Linked DNA regions of Caenorhabditis elegans. The protein of the gene in region 1 interacts with the protein of each later gene in a pairwise test. Each region holds a gene or a part of one and is shown on either strand. Other genes may lie near its edges.

Region 1 (3,756 bases):
ACAGAAATGCAAAGGATCAGCTCAAACTTAAGGAAGCGCATCATCTGAAGCTTACTCAGCGAATCGAAGATCTCGAGAAAAAATTGGCAGAAAAAGATGAACGGCTGAATTATCTGGAGCAACTTCCAAATCAAAATGAACTATGTTCAATGCTTCAGAAAGAAATTTTGAAACTTCGTTCATCGCCTGCTAGAGATAGTGAAATTGACATTTTGAAGGAAAGTCTTGAAGCTCAGAAACAATCTGAAACGTGGAAGATCCAGAAGCTTACAACAGAGAATAAGATACTGATGAATGAAAAAGATGAGAGAATTTTGAAGCTTGAAAAGTATATTGAAAGCATGAGAACCAAGAAATTTTAAGATTGAGAAAAGAGCTCGAGAGAAGAGAAAATAGCTTGAGAGAAGCACAGTCTCGAAATGGTAAGAAATTTTTATGAACATGTTTACCGGAAAAATGCAAGAACAGAAAAGTATGTTTTTATATTTTCAGAAAAATCACAAAGTTTATCATCTCAATTCATGAAACAGAGGGATCCTGACATCGAATTAATCTACCACTCAGAAAATAGAGGAAAAGCGAGCAGTAAAGATAATGCAATGGAAACCAACTCCCATAGTTCTAGTGGAACTAAAAAGAGAAGAGTTATTTCTTCAGAAGAGTTGGAAGGTGAGCTTTTTTGTTTTAATAATATCTGATTAACTCTGAAGAAATTGTTTTAGCTTCTTCCTCGTATCCTATCGCAAGCATGAAGAATTGTCTGAAAAATGAAGAAATTCAGAAAATGCAAAAAGCTCTGAAAGAGAAAGATGAGCAAATTTCGAAACTTACCGAGCAACTTCAAGGACTTCTGATTAATCGGGACAAAGAAACAAAAGTGGAGGATTTGCAGCAATTCGAATACGATGGGGATTCTGACGGATAATCTTCAAAGAGTCAAGCATCTAATAGTTGGGATCTGATGAATGACATTTGATTTCCATTTTTCCATGTTCTAACTGATACGTTAAGTTCATTTTATTAGTGATGCAACATGTATGTAAATATTTTTGTTTATTTTGTAAGTAGCAAGCTCTGGTATCTAATTTTCATCTTGTTTCGTTTTTGTTTTTCCTTTTTTTTCTCAATTAATACATAATGAGTTTTTAATTTTTTTTCTCGAATTTTCGTTGATTTGTTGTTTTGAAATTCTATTTTGAAGACCTGGACAAAGTGGGAAAACCGAATTTTCAGGCTTTGTTTAACTTGGGCTCGTGCAGTAGATCATTGAAAAGTGAAGAATCAGATGGATGGGATCATATGAGCGATGCTTAAGCTTTTTTAATTCGTAATTTCAATTTTCTGAATTTTTTCTGTCAAATTCTATTTATTTTAATATTCAAATTAACTATTTTGCATTTTTATTCATTTTCCTTTGTTCTTCAAAATTGTAAATTCTTCGTGTAAGTTGTATATCATATTCTTGAATCTTTTCCTCAATAATTCTAAAATTCCATTTCGACCTATTTCCTCTCAGGGCTTTACTTGATTTTTCAGTGTTTTTTTCAACCTCGTCGTTATAAAATTTTTACATTTTTTTCAAATACTTCTTGTGATTTTTGGAAGGTTTTACACCTTTTCAAATACCTTTTTTATTACCTCAATACATGGAGTCTAAATTGATATTTTAGTAACTTGGACTGGAAAGTATGATGGACAACCTGAAAGCTGAATTGGCACAAGCGAAAATCGACATCGATCAATTGGAAAAGAAACAATGGGAAACTTTGGAACAATTGGTGATGAGAGATAAGCTTATTGAGCAATGCTCTCTACATACGGAGATTCTTCAAAAAGATTTTCGAGAGAGTGAAGCACGAATTATTCAACTTGAGCAGCAACTTTTGGAACCTGGAGAATGTGGTAGTGAGCTTCGGGCAACTATCAAAAATCAGGAGGAGTTACTCAAAAAGCAATCAGAAGAAATTGAGAGGTGTAAGGAAGAGAGCCGCATGTTGATTCAACAGAAGGAAGAAATGGAAAATATTCATTCAGAAGAAATATTTGGAAAAAACAAAACAATTTCGAATCTTCGTAAACAGATCGATGGTGATGTTGAGAGAAAGAAGGCAAAGATTCGTACGTTGAGAAAAGAACTGTGCTCAGCGGATATGAATACAGGAAAGATGTGTAGACGTGCCAAAAGAGCGGAAGATAGAATTGCTAAATTGGAATCCGATCTTGAAGGTAAGCTATTGTTTTACTGAAAGTTGGCCAACATTGGTTAGAAAACAGATGAAGTTGATTGAAAAAACGAGCTGTTCTATTATATATTAAAGTATTAATTAAAAATTACCATCTATAATTTTCAGAAGAACGCCAAAAACATGTGGGACAAGACATCAGTCATATTTTGGATCAACATAACTCGACCGTCATGGCGTTAGAGATGCAACTTGCAAACACTCAGCAGGAAAAAGCCACGCTTAATACATCAGTTGAAGATCTTAAACTTCGAACTGAAGAGTGGAAGCACAACTTATTGGGGCAATTTGAAGTATTGACAGGTAAGCTTGTGAAAGTTTTCTAGGGGTTTTACACACATCTGTAAGCATTTTCTTTTATTTCAGCCAATTCAAAGAGAGAATGTGAATCAAAAGAAGAACAGATTGCAAATCATAAAAGAGAAATCATGGAAAAAGATAGCAAAATTGAGTGTCTGATGGAACTTATTCAAAATAGCGAACGATCCGCTGAAATTCAGAAGATGCATGATGCATTGAGAGAGAAGGATTTGAAGATTTCGGAACTTTCGGAAAAACTGCAAGGTCTTCTTATCAATCAAGAAGGAGAAGCTGATGATACAATGATCGATCAAGATGACGACAATAAATCCACACACAGTGAAGATTCAGATGGATGGGATAAAATAAATGCCATCTAATTTTTTGCACTAAAAATGCGCCCCGATTTTTCATATGCTTTTTAATTTTTTTCCTTTTTTCCTTTTAAATTTTAAATTCAACTTCGTATTGGAAGAAAGTAGCTCTTTAATCGTATTACCTTAAGCCTTCAACAAAAAATTATTTTTAAAAAACAATTGTATTCTTGTAAACTTTGTACCTTTTCTGTACTGCACTGTATTATAAACTTCATATGTTTCCCGTACTTTTGCGTGACTCTGTCATTGTTTATACTAATGTGAAAACATTTTACTTATTACTATTTCACAAATTTTCAAGTATCTTCACTTATTCTCAGGGATATTCTGTTTCTCACCTCATTTAAAAACTATTCTCATAACAATTATGTTCTTTCTCAATAAAGTTAGTATTACTTATTGTGCTCATTTTATATTTAAAAGGTTCTCATTTCCTTTCCGATTATTTTCAGAGCGTTTCATGTGCAGTATTGGTAGGTATTTTCTATCCATACAGTATTGTTGGGAACTCGATGTAAATTTTCGGAGATGTATTTTATTTTACAAAAAATAGTTTTGAAATTGCTCAATTCGGATAAGTGTGGCTGAAGCTTCGAAAACTGACTAATTTGTATGAAAACATCTTAAAAAAGAACAATAACTTCAATTGAGAACATTCGTTGGCTAGTCAGACAAATTCGATTTTCCTAACATCTAAAATTGCCTTGTTATTTTTTTCGTTACTGAAATTATGGCAACACTTACAAAAGATAAAATACTATAATCATATATCTTATCGCATTTTGTTTGCAATCCTTTGCTCCTTAAATGTTAATTTTCCCTAATAGCAAATAACA
Region 2 (3,756 bases), on another chromosome or scaffold:
CTGATGTTCCTGGCGAGGCTATGGTGAAATTGTACTGTCCACGTTGCAATGATGTTTTCGTTCCACGATCATCACGTCATCAACATACTGATGGAAGCTATTTTGGCACCGGATTCCCACATATGCTCTTCTTTGTTCATCCTGATCTGCGTCCACGCAGACCAGTCACTCAATTCGTTCCAAAGTATGTCAGAGGATATATATTAAGCTAAATATTTGAAAATCCGAAATTCTAATTTAAAAAATCTTTAAAATCTCGGCAATCGAGTAAATCTTTTCATTTCAGTATACCAATTAAACTTTTTGAATAAAAAATGAAGTAAAATATTTGCTTGATTCGAAAACACAACTTAATAATGTTGGAAAATTCAAAACGACTAGTGTCTGAAGGTTATTTTTTCGGCATTCGGCAACTTTCAGGCTCTATTTGAGATCTTTTTTCAAATATTTCAACAAGAATAAGTTGCAATTTCGAATCAATAAAATATTTTGACACATTTCTAAAATCATTTTTAATTCAAAAAGTTGACTTGGTAGACTGAAATTAGAAGATTTACTCTATTGCCGAAATAAGTTGGCTGTACTAAATTAGATTCGAAATAATTTTAGAAATTAGAAGATCAAACAATAATATTTTATCCACTTTAAAAATTTAGCAGAACTTAGTACAATAATAATTATGTTATGTGTAAATTTTTAAATATCAAAATTTTCAGACTCTACGGTTTCAAAATTCATCCTGTTGCTTATGGAGGACAGGAGGGAAACAGCGGCGGAAATACGGCGAATAACGTTGCCGCAGCACAAAACAACACGACTCCAGCCGGGCAACAATCTGGAGGACAATTCAATAATTATGGTCTCTGAGCCACTTTCTTCCTTATTTTTGTTTTGATTTCTTCTTTCCAGTTTCCATTCAGAATGTCCCCCCTCTCAACACAACATCCTTATTTTCTTCATTGTTTCGTTTTTTCTTCTCCCCAAAATTTTCTTTTCCGACAAAACTCAAGAATCCGGCGGTTCTTCCATGCGTGTTTCTCTTCTTTTCTAAATCTGTTCTATTCCAACATTATGCGAATTTAAGAAATGAATGAAACGGTAGATCCCATACATCTCAAAAAGAGTGTTCCTAATTTTCTGTGTAAAAAGTGCAACGTTATTTATTTGTGCCTGTCTTCGTCACGCGGAAACAGCTGGGCGGGAAAGTGCGCTCTACTGCAGTCTCTCAGTCACAGCCTTCGATTCTGCCATCGACGTCATGTGTTTCTTTTCTTTTTTATTTACTATTTGAACGGTTTTAATATCTCCAGTTGATTTGGTTAACGATTAGCACATTGATTTCTGCTTATTTTGAAATATTTCAAAATTACAATTTTTGAAAACGCTCCATATTTTACCTGAAGAAAAAACTTTTGAACAGCTTTTCACATTAATTCCAATATATTTTTAAATTATATTGCATAAACGTGAAATTTTGCGAGGAAAAGGCGATACCCCGGTCTCGATACGCCTTTTTTGTAAAATAAAAACGGACGTGTACCTTTATAGAGTACTGTAATATCAAACTATCGTTGCTGCAAAATTTTTATCGATTTTCAGTGTTTTTCGGTAAAAATGTATTTGTTAAAAAAAATAATAAAAGAAAACGACACAAAATTTTTACAAATCGTGGGAAAAAGTATGAAAAGTCGATAAAAATTCAGTAGCAATGAACGTTTAAAATAACAGTACTTCTTAAAGGCGCAGACCCATTTGTTTTCAGAAAACAATCGTCGCGCCCAGACCGGGTACCGTACTATTGGCGGAAAAAAAATTTAGAAAAGAATATACCAAGTAAATATCAGTTCTCAATTTTAATATATATTTTTCTTGTGAATCATAGTTTAAAAATTCTTCTTTGTTTTTTCTCCAACTCTTCAAAAATTAAATAAAAGCTTTTACAGCTTTGAATCATCGAAAATGAATGGAAAACAGCAAGTCACAAAGAAACCATCAACTGAAGAAGATCTGAGCTTCACGGTTTGTTTTAAAGTCAAAAAATCAATAATAAATATTTTCCAAAGAAATTCAAGGTTGTACCAGATGTTGGTCTAAAAAGTTCACAATTCGAATTTGTGCTTGGTATGCCAATCAATCAATGTATTGCAATGATTCAGCAACATCCAAGAATGCTTACAAAAGTCGAATTGAAGTACAGTAAAAAGGTATAGAAATTAACTAATTATACTTTTAAATAAAGTTAAATTAAATTCAGGATCCATTCTACCAGGATATCATCATCTATATCGGTTCTACAGGAATTCGTCTCTATTTTGATGGCCTTTCACAGCTTATCAAGCTAATTGAAGTGGATAATCTTTCAATGATTACACTTACTTATAAGTATGATACCATCAAAAAAAAAAAACTACAGAAGCTCGTTTAAAACTATTGAATTTAAAACAAATTATGGCGTTTTGAAAATTCGAAAAATTTCAGCCTTGCATAAAATCTGAAAATTGAAAATTCTCTCTGTTGAATTCGGTCGTTTCGGGTCATTGTGAAACTATCAAAGAAAAAAAATCAATTTCAATTGCCAAGATAGTCATACAATTTCTTCATAAAAATTTTCAGCGATACAATCTTCTCTGATCCAAATAACATGGCGACGTTGGATCGGGTCAACGAATTTTTTGGATCGACACATCCAGGATCATATGATGATAAGCACAATATCTATGTGCAAAGTTGGCCGGGATTATCTTTCTGTTTCCCATATGGAGGAGAAAATTCGAATTTGGAAGTCAGGGTACTGTAGTTTGATCTTTTTGGGTATTAAAGTTGGAGTACCGTCTGTGGGTTTTTTCGAATCAAAAATACGATACCGAATATAGTAAAAAATTAAAAGAGTTTTTTCTAACCTACAGCCGCTACTTCACCTTTAATTTCCAAAAAGTTTTTTATATCTCCCAAAAACCGAAATTTCAAACATTCTTCAATTTCAGCCTGGATTTGGTGGAAATCTTCGTTCGCTGAAATATGATGCCAACTCTCAACCAAAACTTACCAAGATGTCCATTTATCGTGGACCAAATCCATCTGAGCCAGAGTGAGAATTTATTATTTATTTCTATTTATTTCTCAAAATTTGAAGATCCGTGGATACTCCATTCTCGTGTTATTGTGGTCAAAATCGGACGAGAAAAGTCGAAGCAATTTGGGAAAATGGGAATATTGTTGGAATTGATATTCAATTTGATACTCAAAGTACTGGAATTTTTTGAAATTATTAAAAAAAGTGAATATTTGCAGACGGAAGAATTGTCGATGGAGAGTATGATGTATCCACGTACACACGACAAATCTATTTTGGAGACTCTGTTTCGGTTGGTTTTCTCAATCAAAAAAATTTGTTCTAAAAATTTAAATTTTAGGATGTGCAATCGATTCTTGGAGCCCCGACAAAGGTCTTCTACAAGTCCGATGACAAGATGAAGTACGTTCTCGTTCTCTTGAAAATTCAAATTCTTTTCTCACAAATTTAGATTTATTTTCAATAGATGTTGAATTTTCCACTGAAAATTTAAACAATTTTTGAAGAAAAATTTTCTTAAAAAAAGTTGAAGGGTTTCAATGTAAGCGTTTTATATCAATTAAAAATAATTCATATAGCATTTTGTTGATATTCAGCAATATCCAATGAATAAATTAAAAAATTGTGAAAAAAGTTCTTTTTTTTCAAAATGCCTGAAATTTATTTAACAACTTTCCAACTAA

The links. Proteins that work in one complex are often made in the same cells at the same time.
Region 2: the proteins of F20C5.6 (region 1) and phaf-1 interact in a two-hybrid assay, tested with the Caenorhabditis elegans proteins (2 studies listed by BioGRID).

Annotation. Positions count from the first base shown.
Region 1 is NC_003282.8:8,771,121-8,774,876, reverse strand, and holds F20C5.6 (ELKS/RAB6-interacting/CAST family member 2), read left to right. Parts: upstream 1-1,670; 5' UTR 1,671-1,688; coding exon 1,689-2,226; intron 2,227-2,351; coding exon 2,352-2,546; intron 2,547-2,609; coding exon 2,610-2,923; 3' UTR 2,924-3,317; downstream 3,318-3,756.
Region 2 is NC_003279.8:8,286,312-8,290,067, reverse strand, and holds the start of phaf-1 (PHAF1 protein T01G9.2), read left to right. Parts: upstream 1-1,943; 5' UTR 1,944-1,959; coding exon 1,960-2,019; intron 2,020-2,063; coding exon 2,064-2,204; intron 2,205-2,254; coding exon 2,255-2,382; intron 2,383-2,613; coding exon 2,614-2,788; intron 2,789-2,984; coding exon 2,985-3,088; intron 3,089-3,133; coding exon 3,134-3,246; intron 3,247-3,291; coding exon 3,292-3,365; intron 3,366-3,413; coding exon 3,414-3,475; intron 3,476-3,756. Other genes in the region: kin-10 (Casein kinase II subunit beta), read left to right, coding at 1-184, 717-867. UniProt on the Caenorhabditis elegans protein: May play a regulatory role in autophagic activity.